3 linked regions of the Oryzias latipes genome follow. The protein of the gene in region 2 interacts with the protein of the main gene of each other region in a biochemical or structural test. Links are inferred from orthologs where the notes say so. Each region holds a gene or a part of one and is shown on either strand. Other genes may lie near its edges.

Region 1 (6,222 bases), on a different chromosome or scaffold from region 2:
ACTCAACCCAGCTCACCAGACATAATTGAGGGTTCAAGGGTCATGTCCAAGGATACCTTAACATGTTGCTAGTTGGGAGCTGACTAATCTGCCCCTGACCCACAAGCAAAAAAAAAAAAAAGTTGTGATGTTTTTATTTAATAGAGTAAATATATAAATCAACTAAAACCCTAAACCAAACAGCATCTTCTTCATCAACTAATGAAGTTTATTTCCAATCTGAAGCCACGACGTTAAAAAATTACTTAGGTTAATTGATGTCAGGTCTGTGACACAATTATCATAAAAATGAATGTCTTGTAGAGGCAGAGTATTGGAATGAAAAGAATGAAAGAGGCCATTTGATCTGTAAAAGTGTTGGACATATTTTGCTGTTAAAACAGAAGGTTGTGGATCTTCTGACACACAATATGTGCATTTGTGTAAACCACTTCTGTAATTTAGGCTAAACTTGATTTATATTCATTACATTTGTTTGTGAATGTGCGTGTGCATGGGTGTGTGATCGTGGTCCTGCGGCAGACTGACGACCCCAGCCTTCACCCAAAAGTGGCAGGGATAGGCTCCAGCAGCCATGTGACCCCGAACGGGAGCTAACTATACAGAAGATGAATGAATGAACGAACATTTGTATTTTCTTTTTTTTTTTTTCGTTGGACTGGACAGAAAAGAAGAAGAGGAAAGAAGGAAGGGATGTCAGTGACAGGGGGTAAGGGCACAGAAGAATGGGGGAAAGGGGGGGTGAGGAGATCTGGAGGATGATTACAGAGGTGGAGGTGGTCTTTTAATCCTTAAGCAACAAGATTTACATCAAAAGTGTTTTAATAACTGTTAGAGTCCCACTCGGATCATCTTATGATCCATTTTCAAAGCGTTCCCAGTCGTCTCTTAATTATGATTATGCCGTTTTTAGCCTAAATCAAAAAACCTGTGTGGTTCTATAGAACATAGTTTCTGCAGAGCAGCAGTAGTCCATCAGAAATTTTGCCTCTGAGTTGTGGGCAGAACAGTGGGTGCGGCGTAAGACATCCCCCTTCCCTTCATCCATCCGTTTACGTGCTCTTTGGCTAGCGTGCAGCCCCTCACAACCCCAACCAAACATTATTGCTGCATGGCGAAATGGCGAGCAATATTGAAGCTATCCAGCTGTACGGTTTTGAGCCAGATTCCAGCTCAGACGAGGAAAAACAAAGATCAACATGGATGCATCAGAAGGGAGCGGAGAAGGCAGTCTAAGGACTCCTGATTCACAAATGTTTCTCTTTTGGCTTTTCCCATCAGGGGTCGCCACAGCGAACGAGTCGCATAGTAAACTTGGCAATGTTTTACGCCGGATGCCCTTCCTGACGCAACCCTCTCAAAGCAAACGGGCTTGGGACCGGCACAGAAGGGAACAGGGAGCAGCCCGAAGTCGAACCCTGGTTTTCACGGACGGAAGGCGCCGCAAACCAGCACGAGCTAAACCGGCTCCCCTCCTGATTCACAAATATTTTAATTAAAAAAAAAAATTCAGAATTGAAACTTTAAGCTAGATTTTTTTTCAATATTTCCTCATGAGAAAAACACCACAAGAACATGGTAAAAAAATAACTAAAAACACGGCCTTTAAATACTTTTAAAAAACATTCCTCAACACCAAACTGTAGATGGGTTAGAAGTTTTATTTTCTACAAAGCAGAAGATAAACAAACAATTTAGAGAAACTGAAGAAATCTCTGTGTGTCAGGGACAATTTAAGACAACATTCCTTGTGATTGTGTCGATGATGCTGCCAAATGATTCAAGGAAGCAGAAAGGTTTGAGGGTGAGCCCAAAAGCTCCATCCTGCAGAAAGGAAGCCACAGGGCCCAGAAGCAGTGTGTCATTAGGTCAAGATTCATTTAAAAAGGAGCCGTTTCAAAGTGGAACAGTGTTCTGAGGTCAGACGAGTCCACATGTGATGGTCTTGTTGGTAATCAGACGCCATGTCACTGACAGACCCGTCAGTGTGCTCTCTGCGCTCTATTCAAAGCCGCCATCCTTGGCAGTATGGGGAGGCAAAAATGCTTCTATTGATCCCCATTTGGACCAACCGTTCGGTCCGTCTGTTTCTTCAACAGTGGCCGGAGTGGTGCTTTAGTGATAACAGTGACCACTGATGCCCGTTTTCTTCTGCTTGCCAAAAGCATTCGGCCAAAATGACATTTATGTTTGCACCACACTATAATCAAACGGCCTATGTCCTTAAATAACAATTGGCTGCACAAACAATAACCGCTCAGGCTGTTAACTGCCGGGCGGCAGCATCCAGTAAACACCTATTGTGGGGATTGACCTTCAGTGAAAATCAGGAACGGCACATTTCAGCTGCTTTCCTCTGCTGCTGCTGCAGAACCACCTCAGCCACCTCCATGGAGTGTGTGGAGCAGGAAGTGGATAGGTGCTCATGCTTCACATGTTTTAGTCCTTTAAATTCTTCACATGGGTGTACTCCCAAGTCACTATGTAATTTAAACAGCGTGCCTTTGAGCTCATAAAGATAACCAGATGCGCGCGTGCTGTAACTATCCTTTCTTTTCCATTTCAGAGCACACAGCAACCCCACCACCACCACCACCACCACCACCTCCTCCCTCCCTGCCTGCCTGCCTGCCTCTCTGCCTGTTTGAAGTGGCAGTCCATAGAAATGCATGTCCAAACACATCTTCTACACAAACATGAATGCCAGGGTGTGAGAGACCAACAGAAAAACATCAGCAGCTCTGCTCAAACTCAGCTCCACATGTTCCAGACACACCTGTGTGCATTCACTTACCCTGACTGGATCAGTTCCCGGGCTCCATGTGGGACCACCACAATCTCTGATGGGTTTTCTTTAGGTAAAATATGACACTTTCTGATTGATCCCCCTAAAAGTCATCAGTTTTCTTCCATTTCGCATCTTTTTGTGAGCATCTTTACCCAGCCTGAGTCCAAACTGTGTGTTTATCTGTGTTGATCTATGAGGGGAGAGTCATTTCTCCCGTGATACTTAATTTAACTTAAATGTTTGTATCATCAAGACTGATTTACACAGTTAGCGTTTCCTCTATTTTTTTTTTCAAAGTCAACACATCCTTGCTACGAACTTCAAATAGTTAAAACACAAATGTCCAACTTTTTCCTCAGAACTCAAACTCACCTTTTTTTTTTCTTTTTTCTTTTTTCCTTTGCGCTACATTCCAAATCTCCTCGGTTTTGGAGGCGATTCGCCGCGGAGTGGGTTTAATCCTCAGAAGAGCCTTTTTTTTTTAAAGCAGTTTAAAATTCCGACTGGGGAGCAGAGATGTCGAAAGTCTTTTCAAACTTCACAAGAGAGAAAAATGATTGAGAGAAAACGCCACCAAAGCTGCTGCGCGTCCCCAAGCTGGTGCTTTTTCGGAACTTCTTTTGTTCTGATGCTCTCATGGCGCACAAAAACTGCGCAAAACTTTGGTAAAAGTCGTGCAGATCGGCCAAAGATGTGCTCTTCTCTCGCTGCAACTCTTCGTGTGTTTATAGTAGCGGTCCCTGCAGTCCAATGGAGGCGTTCAGGGCGGGCGGGGAATACAGAATACGCTGCGTTCAAAACCCAAGAAAATAATCGGAATAAGGATTTTTACTAAACGTGTTCCTTTTTATTTTTTTAATCGGTGTTTTTCTAAATATTTTTTAAGTACATTTCTCATGCATTCTTACATCATTAGTCATAACTTTATATTATTCATAAATTAAATAAAAATGTGTATTTAATCTGTGCTTTCAATTTTGTTTTTTTGAAACAAATTTCGGGTTAAAAATTGTGTTTATGAGAATTTTACCCATCTTTCATTTATGCAGTTTTTTTAATTGTTTTTTTTTTTCATTATATTTTGGATATTGGATTTTCCTTGTTCTTTCTTTTCTTCTTTTTTTTAGTTCATTGCCATATGATTTTTATATTTTCTTATTATGTTTATGTATACATCTCTTTCCTTTTTATTTCAAAGCACCTTTTTTGCACTTGGTCATTTAAAATTGCAACTAAAATAAAGTTGTGTAATGATATAAACAAATAACCTCAGAACACCTCTGTGTTTAACCATAATTAGATTTTAAATTTCATATTTCCTTAAAAAATTTTACTGTAGCCAATATATGCTATTTGCTTGAAATTTAATAAATTGAAAACTCTTTTGGTAGCGCTGGTAGCGTTGATGGTGTACGTGAACGCCTCATTGGGTCCAGACGCCTTCAGAGCCCCGCCCCCACTGTTCTGACATCAGAGTGGAGAAATCCCAGGAATGCGGGAATTCTGGGAGAAGTCCTCTGCGTTTAATGGTTTTCCAGGGGCCGCGGGAGACTCACGCACAAAGTAGGGCCCCCCTCTCTTTTTTATGTTCCGCCGTTGCGTGCTAACGACGCTGTGAAGGAGTAAATTCAAATAACCGACAAATATAACACGTTTTTAAATATATGTTGATCCATATTTATCCCAAAAGTACCAACAAAAAAAAGTGTTTTTTTGTATTATCTCTACTTGTTGCAATGTTAAACTTTTACACTTTTTCACACTTTGTAAAAAAAAAGGCCATTAAAAGAGAATTTCTTTTTTTAATTTAATAACTGTACTTATTTAAAAAAAAGTGTTATCTAGAACTACAAAAATAAAATACATTTTTAAAGACGTCAAACAAAGGATTTTTCCTGGATGTAAATATATATTTAATTTTTCAAACATAGGCCTTTTTTTACAGAACACATGCAGGGCTTCTTTGATTTTCTGCCTTTTATTGCTAAAGTTTGTCAGGATTTTTAACTGTCTCAGATGTGAAAACTGAAGATTATCATACTGTATTTGTGGACAAGTTGCAGCCTCTTGTGGCTGAAACAGCAAATGACAGCCATAAAAATAAGCAAAGGACATACTTTCAAAAAATACTGAAAGAATTTATAACATTAAATTCTCAAATACAATAAATTTAACCTGCCATAGATCAAATGTTTAAGGCTCATCTCTCTGAGAGCCTGCACGGGGGTCAAAAAGATGCTGGCTGGAGCCTATCCCTTAATTTTTTTAAGGCCAAAGGCGGAGTACACCTTGAATGCGTCACCACATCTATACAGGCCCATCAGAATTGTAGTGATTACAATAAATCATTAGAACAATTTTTTTTACATTTTTGCAAAAAAAGAAAAGGATGATTCAAAAACTTCTGCTGTAAAATCTCTAATATATCTGCTTTCTTTTGTTTATGTAGAGCTGGCTTAGGAGCACATGTTCAGTCCTGATTGATTTTACATAATGAAACCTTTAAACGGCAAAAAATGTAATTACACCCCAACTATGTAATTTTATGAAGAAAAACGACAAAGACGTGACGTTATTTTGATCGTTATTTTGATCATTTGATCGTTATAAGTGACGTTATTTTGATCATTTGGAACATAAATTTTCTGTGGTGTCGTGCCATGTGCTGCCGATACACTAATATTTGGGTAGAAAATTGCTGTAATTGTTTATATTTGGGGGAAAAATTCAAGAAAAGTTAACACAAAAAACATTATCTTTGAGCTCTAAACCACTGGAATCACACTTTCTTTAATAGACTTAAACCACTTGAAAATAATTTAATTAAACTTGGAAGTTTATTTATGAACTTGTTAGCCTGTTTTGTACATCATTTTTTTTTTTTTTTTTTTAACTGTGAGACACTTGGAAGAAAGACAAAAGCAGGCATGTGACACGTTATCTGATGTCTGTGTTTAAGCAGACCTGCAGAATTGAGGTCTCCTCACGGAAGGCCTCCACAATAAAGGCTTCCTTTTAGAGTCCACACCTAAAGTCCGATCGCGGTGCCGATAAGCTCAAAAACACGTTGCTTTTTGACTGTGACCCTGCTCTGACCTGGTGCCTCCTGCATCCCAAAGTGGGTCGGCGCTTGGTTTCACAAAAGAACATTTTGATTTCAGCATCTTATGCTATCAAAGTGGCCAAACACATTAGTCACATGCAAGGCTGGTGCTTTTAGAAAACAAACACTGTACTACACTCATAACTGAAACGATGTGAAAAAATGCCATTAAAAAAAAGGCATAGGAATTAAATTCTAAATTGTTGCAGTTTGAAACAAAACAATCCAGGTCAGATGTTATGCTATGTTTACTTTTTGTGCATTTAAAAAATCTTTAAATGTGTCATATTGTTTAAAAACTGAGTTATTGGAACTATGTTAATCAATACTT
Region 2 (6,306 bases):
TGCAGACGCCACCAAATGTAATAACCTACAATCTAACTATTGCGATTGTCTCCTTCTGCGCACACCGGCCACCATTGTGCACTGTAGCAGATTTGGAAATGATGGTCAGCACGATGCACGCTGAACAGAGCCGTCCTTTGAGGGACAGGGAACATTTCTCTGGCTTTACTGGGGGCTAAAACCTCCAAAATGTTGATCCTGAACTTTTCCTGACATTTTGTTTTAACTTACAAAGTCACCCTAATTCCTTGACTCAATGTTTTGGAGGTTTTTCTTTGTCTTTTTTGTGTTTTTTTACCAGCTTTAATGACTGCAATATTTTCCAGAAATTTCCAGGCAACAACAGATTTTAGGTGGATGGAAAACCAAAGCTATGCAAATGCAGACAACAAGAATGATTATTCACAATGAGTACCAAAGAAACACACTAAAATACTAAACATAATTACAAATATGCATATATATGAACCGTTTAACCAAATCAAAATAAGAGGTAAACAGATTTACAGAAAGAAGGGTGACTGGGTGGAGATAAGGCCCCCAGCTGAACTCCTCAACAGACCATGTTTGTTGGCTTTTTTCATTTTGATATCTCATAAACGGAGTAGCTGGCACCAACTTGGTCTAACATGGGGCAATGAACTAAATAACACTCAGACTATGTGCACTTAGTACATTCAGTACTGAGGTGGACTTCAAATGGTTATGAATTGTAACCCATCTATAAATACATTTTTGGTTGATAAAGACTTCCTTGGATTAGAAAGGAAAACACGTCATGGAAATTAAAACCCAATCAACGCTGCGTGAAATTGAGAAAACTAGTTTTGTCCCAAATTGTTTGTGGTTGCTCTGTTTGATCAGGGTTTTCTGTTACTTCCAGGTGAAAGCCCACTGCATAGGCCAGCTTAGGTTTGATGCCTGGCTGCAGACATGGATGTCCAGAACCAGAAGTCCTTGGAAAGTCCACCATTATCGCTCAGAGAATTTTCATTTTAACTGACAACAGTTACGATTTCTCTCATTTGAAGCCTTGGTAGAAGTTTTGGCTACAATTCCGAACACTTTTGGGTTAGGATTAGTTGTATGATTTCTGCTTCCGGCCCGATGATGTCCGCCGCCATCTTGAAACCAAAGAGAACCAGAAGGATTTCTGGAGGTCTTTGCTGCACGTGGACCCTGGCGCAGAAATCAAAGATCTGCTGGGAGAACTCTTTGAATGTTTGGGTGCAACTCATCACACGGGGATATTTTGAAAGCCACACTCGATGGGGCATTCAGTGCCTCGCATGTACAGTCTGTGCAACAGATGTTCTGCAGGTTGGACGAAAACAACACCTGTTCCACATCTGTTGGACTCGCTTTGGTCCGTTTTTTTATGGGCGTTAACCTAATCGGTGGAACATTAGAGTCCCATTAACAGGTGCATTCTGCAAATTATGTTTTGGAAGAAAGGTTATGGAACCTTGACAGTTTTTAAATGCCTCCAGGCTTTGAGTTCGTACTCCTCTCGACGAAGAAACGAGACCCATTTTGGTGTCCAGATGTTACCGTCTGCTGTCCACCCGTTTTCGATTCCAGCCCCGTTCACTTTTATGCACACGCTGTTAGATTGCACACTTACTTGAGAAAGTATCTCTGGCCGGAGCTGGTCTTGGCCATCTCCCAGCCTGGCGGCAGGGGCACGTCGTCGGGAATCTCGTAGGACGACTGCCGGAGATGTTGGGGGGAGGCGCCTGCTGAGGCCATCCCAGACAGGGAGCCACCCGAAACGGCGCCCAGCTGCAGGGAAGCTGGAGACGAGTGTGCGCGTACGTGGTGGGGGGTGAGCACGCCGCCACTCCCAGCATCAGTGCTAGCCTGAGTTACAAAGAAGATGTTTTATTTATTTTTTTACATTGTTTCAATACATTGATAACTAAATGTCACATATTTTCATGTACCTTTAGAGGACCTGCTTGCTTTAGTCCCCTATAAACTGTATTTTTCATTGAATGATCATCTGTGACTACATACATGTTTTGTCTCGTTTCCTAATATCTATAAACTGTATGTTTTGTGGGCTGGGTTTGGAATTGTTTAGTCTTCTTCTGAAGTTCTTCTAGTTTTTATTACAGTTTATGCGTGCTTTCAAAAATAAATGCATAAAGACAAGCTTTTTTATTTGAAATGTAAACATATATGGGGGGGATAAACAACAAATAGTAAAGTTGGCAGGTGGGGGTTTTATTTAGTTTTTTTTTGTTTTTTGTTTGTCTAGGACCCCCCCCCCCAAAAAAAAAATTTGCAGTACTTCTGCATTATATCTAGTTTATTAGCGACAAAGACAAAGACATTATTTATCTTGTTTGTCCCAATGAGGAGTATCACAGTGATTCATTTTGGACTGTATTATAAAACAGCAGCATAATGAAAAATCTCTAAAAAATGAAAAAAAAATGATCATTAAGTCAGACTTGAACACTGTTGAGTCATCTGGATGTGCATCCAACTTGTGTCAGGGCCCACAGAGATAATCCAAGGCACCAGAGGGCCTGCACGGCGCATGCGCACTAGTTACAAAACTTCGGTAAGCAGTCGAAAGGGGAAATTGGGAGGGAGGGGTTGATGGGGTAAATCCAATCATCATATGATTTCTATATTGAAGCTGTATTAAAATAAAATAAAAAGTATATCTAACTAACCTTTAAATGACTGTTTATAAATGAATTAACAAAGTTTCGCAATAAAGTTTTATGTTCAAATAAATGTATCCACATTTCTTGCAAAACGTTTAAACTTTTTTTTAATGTTTTGATGATTTTCTTTTAATTAAAATTATAATTTGCGCTTACAATACATTTAAAAAAACGGACTAAAATCGTGATTTTAACAAAAAAACTAGATGGAGCGGTTGTTTTGAGCAGAGGTGGCCGTGTTTAGGCCGGGGCCCCCGCGGGATTGGAGGGGGGGGGTCTTACTTGTCTGGAATGGGACTTGGGCTCCGGGGGCTTGAAGAAGGAGTCCGGCAGCTTCCTCATCCTCATGGGCACGGACTGGGGCACGACGGCGCCCTTGGGGTTCATCACGGCGTTGAAAAGCGCCTCCAGGTCCGTTTCCGAGTCGCCCCGAACGTGAACGATCTGGTGTCCGACAGGAGGGTTGTGCTGGCTCGGATCCATTGTTCCACAAGCGCTCTGCGAACTCTTTGCGGCCCGAAAACGTTGAGTTACGAAACTTTTCAAAGGCGGTTCGAGCCGTCCCCGAACTTTTTTTTTTTTTTTGTCAAATCTTTAACTTCTAACGAAACTTAGTAAAAGTTTTGCAAAGTCATGACTTTTTAACGTCGGTCTACTTTTTCGAGCGGACCGCCGCGAGGCTGTTTTCGAACGATGTTAGCTGTCAAAATCAGCAGAGAAAGGCCGCTTTCCTTGGCTTTTCCCAGCTGACATACTTGTACATAAAACAAAGCGCATATCTGCTCCACTCTGGAATCTGTATTGTCGTCCGGACCCAGCTTTTACTCCCCCCCCCTTCAGAAAAAAAGTGCCGCAAAAGTTGGTGAAAAAAAAAAAAAAAAAGGTAACACCACCAAAGTTCAGGCAGTAAAAAGAAGTCCCGGCATTCCCAATTTCGGAAAAGTTTCAAAACTTTTTCCTCCCCAGGAATTTTCCAAGGCAGACTCAGCGCAAATCTGTGCCGCTCACTGCCCCGAAAAAAAGTTTCCTCCTGTTAGCCTAAACTTTGAGCAGGACATAAAACTTTATGGCTCATGGGACGTCTGCGCAAAGGGGGCGGGGCCACACTCCAACTGGGATGAGTTAAAGGTACAGGCAGTTATCCTGAGACCCATTTATCCTGCAAAAAAGCATTAAACTTAAGACTGCGACAAAATAGCAATTATGAAGTATACAACAAAATTATAAAATATAGCTTTTATTTCTATTTACCTCGATCTTTAAGAAAATATTAAAATAACAATAAAAGAAAATGTTGTAGTTTCAAAAATGACCACTAGAGGCTGGTATCAGAGGGAGGTCGTTTTCTATTGACTCCCCTCCTACGAAACTACAAATTTAGACCCTAAATTTACAGATGTGCTTCCCAGGATCAGTTTAAAAAAATGTTTTTTGCTTTGAATTTAAGCGTCCAGTTACCAAATGTGAGACAAACCCTAAAGAACTAAATACTGCAGTTCCTAAAATGACCACTAGAGGCTGGTTTCAGAGGTAGGGGATTTTCCAATGACTCTCCAATTTGAAAAACCACAAATTTACACCCTACAGGTAGATTCCCAGGGTCCCTTTGTTCTTTGATTTCTTTTTTTTTTTTTTTTTTTGCTTTTAATTAAAATATCCAGTTACCAAATGTAAGAATTCCTGAAAATATTAAATGTTGCAGTTCCTAAAATGACCAGTAGAAGCTGGTTTCAGAGGCAGATCATTTTCTATCGACTCCCCTCTAAAAAAAAACAAAAAGGAACTTTAAACATTGAATTAAGAGGTTTTCCAGGATCCCTTGTTTGTTGACGTATGCTACTTTGTTTTCCATTTATGATAAGTTTGTTTTACAGGGGAGTGTTTTGAAATGGTCTGTTTTTTATTTCATTAAGGAACATTTTTTTTTTTGTATAATTAGCGATAAACATACACAAACAGTGAAGTGACCATCTATGATGTCAAACACAAATTTCTAATAGACAAAAATGAAGCCTGAAATGAGACGCCTATATTGACCAGAGGTTGCTCTGTACAACTAAACAGACCTATTGACAAGAAGAAAACCCCCAAATGCGACATTAAAATCCTGATAAATCTGTTGAATTAAACTCATCTCTGTGCTTCACACACAGACAGATTTGATCCAGAAAAGGCCTGCAGAAAGTCCACTTTAGAAAATAGCTGCGAACATAAAAGGTGCCACGATTTTTCCCAAGAATCTTGAAAAGAACAATTTTCTTTCAATCGCTGAGGGAAATGGAACAATCTCTTCTTTCTTTTTTCTTTTTACACTGTATGTAAAGTAGAGCCATGCAAGTTCCCACAATTGTTATGCTAATGAGGCCCCTCTTCCATTGAGAAATCATTTTGTCAAGAACCTCCTTCTCTAGATACAGAAGCATCTCTGTCCCATACAATGAGTGAATAAATGATTATGAAGCCCTAATACATACCTAAAGAAAGCTGCAGATTAAAGAGCGGCCATTGTTTTGGTGGGTAGATGATCACGTTTGTTAGTTTAGACACAAATTTGTTTTATTAATTATGCAAAAACCAGCATCCAATTCAAAACCTAAATGGCTTTTTTTTTTTTTTTCAAATCTGGACTTTGAAATGTTTTTAGGTTTTTATAAATTGATAATGCAATAAAAAAGTCCTTCATTTGATCACCACTGTGAGTTTGTGTTTCCAGTAAAGGCTTTCCTTGTAAATGTCACCACTTTCCAGATTTCAAATAAGACATAAAACATTCTGAGAGCACGTGCTGCCTGTCTCGAAATTTCCATTAAACGAGGGAAAGTGGCCTTTTTCCTTTTTTTACTTCGTTCTCTGTCACTGACTCAGACACAGCAAGTGATGGACCTCAGTGTCTTGCAGCACCAGGCAGACCACCCACCTAGCAGCCACTCCTTATCCATATGACTTCATTCCCCTTAAAGATGTTATGGGACACTTTGTTTTTTTTGTTTTTGTTGTGTTTTTTTTATAAACTCATCAAACCGAACAGTTTTGTTTTCCTAAGAGAAGCAAACCAGCTCTTTATTTAACACTTGATCTGATAGTTTGAGATTAGGTCACCAAAAAGAGTGGCTGAGGGAACAGGCAGACCCAAGCGCCACCTAGTGGTTACTCACAGCAACTACGAAAACTTTTAAAAAAGTTTTTATTTTATCTTAACTCTTCCATAAGTATTTAAAAATACAAAAAAATCGTTTTTTTAGAGGGTGTTTGAAATTAAATGCCTAATAATTCATTAAGATTTGTTATTTTTCTATATTTTTCTCCACTTTTTTCTAACTGACTCTTAAAAAATCCCCGTTATTTTAGATGAGTATTCAACGAAAAACAATTTATTAGACTCATAAAACACTTGATCAAATGACCCTTTTATGAAAGATATAATACAGCTGATATGAATGGTGTTAGAAAGAATGAATGCTGAGATTTAACTTCAGCAGGGACAGCAGCACAAGCTTAAACTTGCACCTCTGGGAAATCCACTTCCAACACTCTTGCCTCTTCTTGTTGGGTTTCTGGCTATTGAGCAGTTTAAAGAATTAAATGTAATTATGTGCATCAGAGTGTACAAAACTATTAATGGTTTGAG
Region 3 (6,475 bases), on a different chromosome or scaffold from region 2:
AAGAAACAGACACATTTCTTTAATTCACAACCAACATGATGCTGAAATTTGTGACTAACATTCTAAATATTTCAAATGATTAATGCTTATTTGTGACATGGGCCACAAGGGAGGCGGGGTTTGTATCACACCAACAGTCCCGCCCATAGCTCTGAGGCAAATTTCTAATACTCATACTGCTCTGCAGAAACTATGTCCTAGAAAACAACACAGGTGTAAAATAGAACAAAAGATAATCTGAGAGGGTCTTTAATTTAAAAAAAAAAAAAGACAGGTTTGTGAATGAACAGGGATCGGAGTGTGAACTGACCTGCGTTTGTCCCACCACACTGCAGCCAGCTCCCTGCTCTGTAGCGCTGCCATAATAACATTAACATCATAGTTTCCTGTTCCTAACACTGATCGATGGGGGTTAACCACACACTGTGGAGCCAGCCTGCAAAGAAGACAACATTTTTATAAAGGGATGTCCCCTTTTCATCCCTGTCTGGCAACTCATGCCCCTCAGTCCGGCTTAATTTGATTGCCAAAAGCCACCAAGACTGTGACTCAATTTAACTCAAGCTCAATTATGTTAATGGTCCTGATGTAAACCACAAGCCTCTCCAGACCTGCACTTTGTCTGTGGCTTCATCTCTGCAGAAGAGTTATCTATTTGTTTGAAATACAATCATTATTTTGTTCCAGAAAAATATAAACAGTATAAACATCTGGGTGTGTTTAGCTTTTATTTTATTGGTCAGACTTGAAAGAAACATTATCCATTTAAATTCAGATGGAAGTTTTTGCAGAAAAAAAAAAAAAGATATGTACGCTCACTGGGCACTTTGTTAGGTACACCCATCCAACTGCCCGGTAACAAATTTGCACTGAGCCAATCACATGGCAGAAAGTCAATGCGTTTAGGCATTCATGGTCAACACAATCTGCTGCAGTTCAAGCCGAGGATCAGAATGTGGAAGAAAGGTGATTGTAGTGACTTTCAAAGTGACCTGCTAGGATTTTTACCTACAGTGATGAAAGTCAGGCAAGGAAAAAATCCCTGAACTTTTCTTTGAGCGATATGGCGGGCACAGAGCGAAATTTTGGAAAAATACGTGGTCTTAGATGCATTCTGGCAACTAGTTATTCACTTCTTTATCAAGAAACTAAGACTAATTGGAGCATCATGATTTGTCATTCAAACCCCTAGTTTGACTCTCCATTAAGGACTTGCTGGTCCTAAAAAAGAATTTGGAAAATTGCTCAAAGTAACACAATCCTACAATCTACGCTTTTCCTTAAAGCTGCAAAACATACAATTGCTAAAATATAGTAACATCAAAGCCCCAAATGGCAAAAAGAACACCAGTAACTATGATATTCTATGAAAATACCTCAGTTATTTATACATTATTTCTGCTTTAGAAATGACTGATGTACAACATCCACTTGCACTGTTTTCTCAAACTATAATTACATCAAAATATGGGATCTGCTTTAAACTATAATTCTATAACATAATACATCAATTCTTTAACACCAATACTAAGTAATCTGGGAAATATCAAAACAAACATACAAACTAAACTAAACATTGTAAACATTATTTTTTAAGGGAGTGCGGGTCCAAACCATCAAATACTTATAATTAATGTCAACTATACTGAACTAAATCATGGTAATTAGGAAATACAAATAAATTAGATAGAGAAATGTATTCAAAATAAAAACTGAAACTCAAAACTAAAATTGAAATTATTTCAAAATGTGGTTTTGAGATTATTTTACACAAAAAAGTATTTGACCTACACTACCTTAAAAATCTTTTTTTTCCAGCCAAGACCACTTCAATTTGTTTTTTATCGTCTTCTCACAACTGAGGTCGTGACCACGCTCAATAATGACGATGCCTGCCATTATTTTAACACAAATTTGATCGCAAACTCTTCAGATGTGTTTGTGAAAATTTAGCGTGGGTCCGCCAGTTTTGGTCTCTAGGGAAGCGAGTCACGCTGACCACGTGGTGCAGACAGAGCCAATCGGACCCGTCGACGCATCCGAAAGCAACTAAAACGTCCCGTCATTGGTCAATTAGGCCGGGAAGACGAGAGATGGCCACGACCATAGAGGAAGCGATCTGCTGAGAAATATAGAAAATAAAGCTAAAATTAGCTGATTTCAGACCATTTTTTAATCCGGAAAGCGATTTGTCCGTAGAGATCAGGTCTTTATTTCCCGGAAAGTACGTTCGGTTTGCTCAAAAACCCGGATTTCCGGGAATTCCCGGAAGACTTTCATCACTGTACCTACAACCATCTCTAGGGTTTGTAGGGAAAATATCCAGTGAGCAGCAGTTTTGTGGGTGGAAATGCCTTGTTGATGTCAGAAGAGAATGGCCAGACTGGTTCCAGCTGATAGGAAAGTAACAGTAACTCAAATAACCACTGGTTACCAAGTTCTGCAGAAGAGCATCTCTGAACGCACAACACGTCCAATCATGAGGCAGATGGGGTACAGCAGCAGAAGACCTCAACGGGTACCACTCCTGTCAGCTAAGAACAGGAAACTGATTCTAAAATCGTGCACCTTGCCTGGTATGATTAGTCTCCATTTCTGCAGCAACATTCAGATTGTAGTGTCAGAATTTGCCGTCAACAACACGAAAGCGTGGATCCATTCTGCCTTGTATCAACAGTTCAGGCTGGTGGTGGAGGTGTAATGGTGTGGGGGATCTTTTCTTTGCACACCTTGGAACCCTTAGTACCAGCTGAGCATGGTTCCAACACCACAGTCTTGTTGAATCTAAGCCACAAAGGTTTCAGGCAGTTGTGAAGGCAAAAGGGGGTCCAACACGGGACTAGCAAGTTGTACCACATAAAATTGGCCAGTAAGTGTAAATATTCAACTATGATGACCTGGGGAAATCGAGACTGTTTTTGTTTGTTTTGTTTTGTTTTAAGCCTTAAACACGAACATAAACAAGGAAACTACAAGTACCACACATTACAATACATCCAATGTGTTTCAATATATGCTTTTTTTTAAATTGAGAGAATGGGTACAAGATCATGTCAGCACGTTGTTACCGTTTACAGATGTCGTCAGCCGTCTCCTTGGTAAACACTCGCTCCTGAAGCACGTTGTTGAGCGCGTGAATGGCGCACAGCTCCAACCGTTGCTTCTCATGAAACACCTCGGCTTCGCTCATTCTATCGCTTTCCGTTTCAAACACAAAAACGTGGACGTCAACAAAACCAGAATACACACGTCACTCATGCTAGCTAGCATCAGATATAATATGAGAGGTTAGCACCAGCTAGTACAGTAGTTCTTATCTTCTTACCTGAAAAGAAGCTAACTATGACACCCTGGTGGAAGTTCACCAGCTGGCCGCTCAAAAAGTGGTTTAGAAAGTAGCAGCAGCGCGAACTATTGTCACGCCATTACAATGAAACGGAGCTCGTTACCTGCTGATAAAGCAAATCCACGTTTTATTGACGCTGGAGTCCGTCAGCTACATCCAGAAACCGGAAGCAGAGTCTTTGTCGTGTTGTTGTTCTACAAAAAACACGCCCCCATGCTTAAAGAGTCCCACAGAGCAACACCGAAACACGAATTTTCTTTTATTTACCAAGTACATATAGCACTAAATAAACGCAAAAAAATATTTCTGGTAGTCCGCGCGATTGTTTTTAATGTTTTTAAGCAGGTCAAAATAGCAATAATGTAAGCTTGCAACGTCATCTAGTGGCAGCTTTATTAATTTCAGTTGTGGCAGAGAGGAGGTGAAGACAGACTTTCAGATATTTTTTCTCTAAAAGAAAAACAATACACATTTATATTAAAAAATAAAACACGAAATATTTCATATGGATTATTGTCTTTCAACTTAAGAATTTTTTTGATGGAGAAATTACTTGTGATGATATTCATGAATGTTGATGATAATGTTACATTTTCCTAGAATGCAACATGTCTACTATATCTGTGATTGACTGGATAACATCATATTCAGTGAAAGCAAAACTGCTCTGAGCAGGAAATACTGTGTTCAATCCAAGAGATACAAGTTGATAGCCATTACAAAGGCAGCAAAATGTAAGATGAAACTCCATTGTTGAACCTTTCTGTTTTGAGTGAACACATTTCAGCCATACAGGACCAATGAAAGGAGAGATATTCATAGAACAATATTTAATAACAAATTAGATAATTTGAAGATGCCATGAGCACTCCATCAGTTATTTTTTAGTCTGATATTGTGTCAGATGTTGCTATTCTGAACCTTTTACAAATCTTTTAATGTATGTTATGTGTTGAATTTAGAACTGAAGTTGTTCTTTGTCAAAATTGTTGAATGTTAGTGTATCATGTTCTGATTTTTTTTAAAGTTATGTCTGTTGTCTCATTTACAGTGATTTCTGTTGAGCTTTGTAGAATGGTAATAAAAAGACCTTCTTATCCTCTCCTACCTTCCTTTTGAGATTAAAAAAAAACCCTGTTTTATCTACATTGTCTCTATCAATGTTGTGTCCAAATTGGTTACCATTCCCAGTTATATGTTTGATTTTTGCACAAGAGGTCCTGAGGACACTATTGGGTTATCTGTTTGTGTGCTATTTTGCATTTGGCGCTGTTTCTTCCTTCATAAATGCACAGGAAACTTTGAGATGTACAAAGACCTGCATAACATTTTTTAAAGATTTCTCACAGAACATAAGCCAGTTTTGAGTACAATGTTTCAAAATCAAATTGTGCAAAAACAAGCATTAGATCACAGCAATGCTAAAATAGCGTTCTATTGTCTGATAGTTGCGGGGTTTGTTTTTATGTTCATAGATATTTAGGACACACCACTAAATTATTGGTATTTGTATGATGGACAGTCATTTAATATTATTATTGGCCTACAATTTTTTTTGTTAGTCCAAAATCCTGCTCCAAAACCAGGAAAGCTGTCCTCAGGTTGAGGCACCATGTTTATTGAATGCCCTTATCCTGTCAGTGTCCCTGATTGACTCTGTTGTGTCCTTTTATAAAAAAGCTAACATGCATTTGTTTAGGAAAGGTTAAAAGTAATGAATGTGAGTGTATGTGGTTGTGTGGCTCAGACAGTCCAGGGTGTACCACACCTGGGGGTAGTTAGAATAGACTCCAACAACCGCCACAGGGAGTGTTTAGAAAATGCATAAAAAGGTGCTTCAGAAATACAGCTCACTTATTTGCTTAAACAATTATATTAAAATATAATTAGGAATATTTGTTTTAAATGTATTTTTCACGTTATAAAAATGCTCACTGCTATTGATTGAATTATATTAGCTAATCTAATATACCCGATATTCTTGATTGTGGTTTATTTCCTGTCAGTATCGATCGGTAGTTTGAGTTTTTCAAACGGGCCTATGGCTCACCAGCATCAGCTCTCTTTACACTCTGATTGGCTTATATATTTTTTCTATCATGACGTAATAGAAAATCTAGATTGTGATTGGTTAGGAACTTCATACGCGTCAACTTGCTAAGACGGCTATTGGTTAATATCAGCAGGTTAAATCGAGGATCGTATTTTTGTTCCTGTGTCAACGTTAAAGCGAAAAGGACAGTAATCAGGGTTTTTTTTGTGATTAAGTTTCTACAAAATACTTTTTCTCAAATAGTAGCAGAAAAAGCTTCGTTTTATCCCATTCCAGTAAACAACCATTCACCAAAAAGATCTCATTTTCGAAGATGGTAAGACAGATGACCGAGCGTATTGCTAACAGCTAAGGGGAGTTTTTGCTAGCTTGCTCCGGTGTTAGATCGTCAAAAACACCCTGGTTGTGGTTGATTTTCTTTCTTTTTTAAAAGTTGTTTTTTATTCGCGGAACCAAAACATGATTTTAAAAATAGTACGGAGTACTTTTAGCGTAATGATCGCGTTTTTACAGCCTTTAATCAACGCTAAGTTCGAGGCATTACCTCTTGCTAACCGTTAACGTAAAGTTATCTCCTTATTTCTGTATAATAATTAGTAAGAGTTGCAATTTTATATTTTATCAGTCATGATACGATCGTACCTTGATTTAATGTGCCTTTATATTACCTACAGTAAAACTTTTTTTCTTCTTTTCTTTAAGCTTGGCGACAAAAACTTTGAAACTCAATGTTGTATTTTTGTTCTAGCAGCATAGCATTCGTTTGAATATCCTCCTGACCCCCAGCAATGCAAATTTCTAACTGAAAATCTAGCATAAATGGCACAGTAGCATCCAGCTGTATTAAATCAACATAAATAAATGATAACTTTTATATAATGCAGGATTTTTTTTATCAATTGAACGTGCAGTTTAAATAGAAGTGCATTTTTATTGCTGCTTCTTAGGTGTTGCAGATGTGACATCCTTAAGTACATTCTCATGTGGTCAGCAATTTATATTTTCCGACAATGGCTTGCTTGGATTTATCTTTTCTAAATTATCTCATTTTATTATCTTTATATTTTATTGAAGAA

The links. The genes of interacting proteins can lie anywhere in the genome.
Region 1: the proteins of yap1 (region 2) and ptpn14 form a complex in vitro, tested with the Homo sapiens proteins (3 studies listed by BioGRID and IntAct, with this or other methods). The link is inferred for Oryzias latipes from reciprocal best matches to the Homo sapiens genes YAP1 and PTPN14.
Region 3: of the proteins of yap1 (region 2) and josd2, one has a biochemical effect on the other in vitro, tested with the Homo sapiens proteins (2 studies listed by BioGRID). The link is inferred for Oryzias latipes from reciprocal best matches to the Homo sapiens genes YAP1 and JOSD2.

What each region holds. Positions count from the first base shown.
Region 1 is NC_019882.2:9,164,828-9,171,049, reverse strand, and holds the start of ptpn14 (tyrosine-protein phosphatase non-receptor type 14), read right to left. Parts: upstream 3,558-6,222; 5' UTR 3,161-3,557; intron 1-3,160. UniProt on the Homo sapiens protein: Protein tyrosine phosphatase which may play a role in the regulation of lymphangiogenesis, cell-cell adhesion, cell-matrix adhesion, cell migration, cell growth and also regulates TGF-beta gene expression, thereby modulating epithelial-mesenchymal transition.
Region 2 is NC_019871.2:6,487,305-6,493,610, reverse strand, and holds the start of yap1 (transcriptional coactivator YAP1), read right to left. Parts: upstream 3,758-6,306; 5' UTR 3,162-3,757; coding exon 2,961-3,161; intron 1,861-2,960; coding exon 1,625-1,860; intron 1-1,624. UniProt on the Homo sapiens protein: Transcriptional regulator with dual roles as a coactivator and corepressor. Critical downstream regulatory target in the Hippo signaling pathway, crucial for organ size control and tumor suppression by restricting proliferation and promoting apoptosis.
Region 3 is NC_019874.2:19,499,473-19,505,947, forward strand, and holds the start of josd2 (josephin-2), read right to left. Parts: upstream 3,558-6,475; 5' UTR 3,450-3,557; exon of another isoform or gene 3,326-3,449; intron 3,198-3,325; 5' UTR 3,191-3,197; coding exon 3,069-3,190; intron 437-3,068; coding exon 311-436; intron 1-310. Other genes in the region: ube2s (ubiquitin-conjugating enzyme E2 S), read left to right, coding at 5,713-5,715. UniProt on the Homo sapiens protein: Cleaves 'Lys-63'-linked poly-ubiquitin chains, and with lesser efficiency 'Lys-48'-linked poly-ubiquitin chains (in vitro). May act as a deubiquitinating enzyme.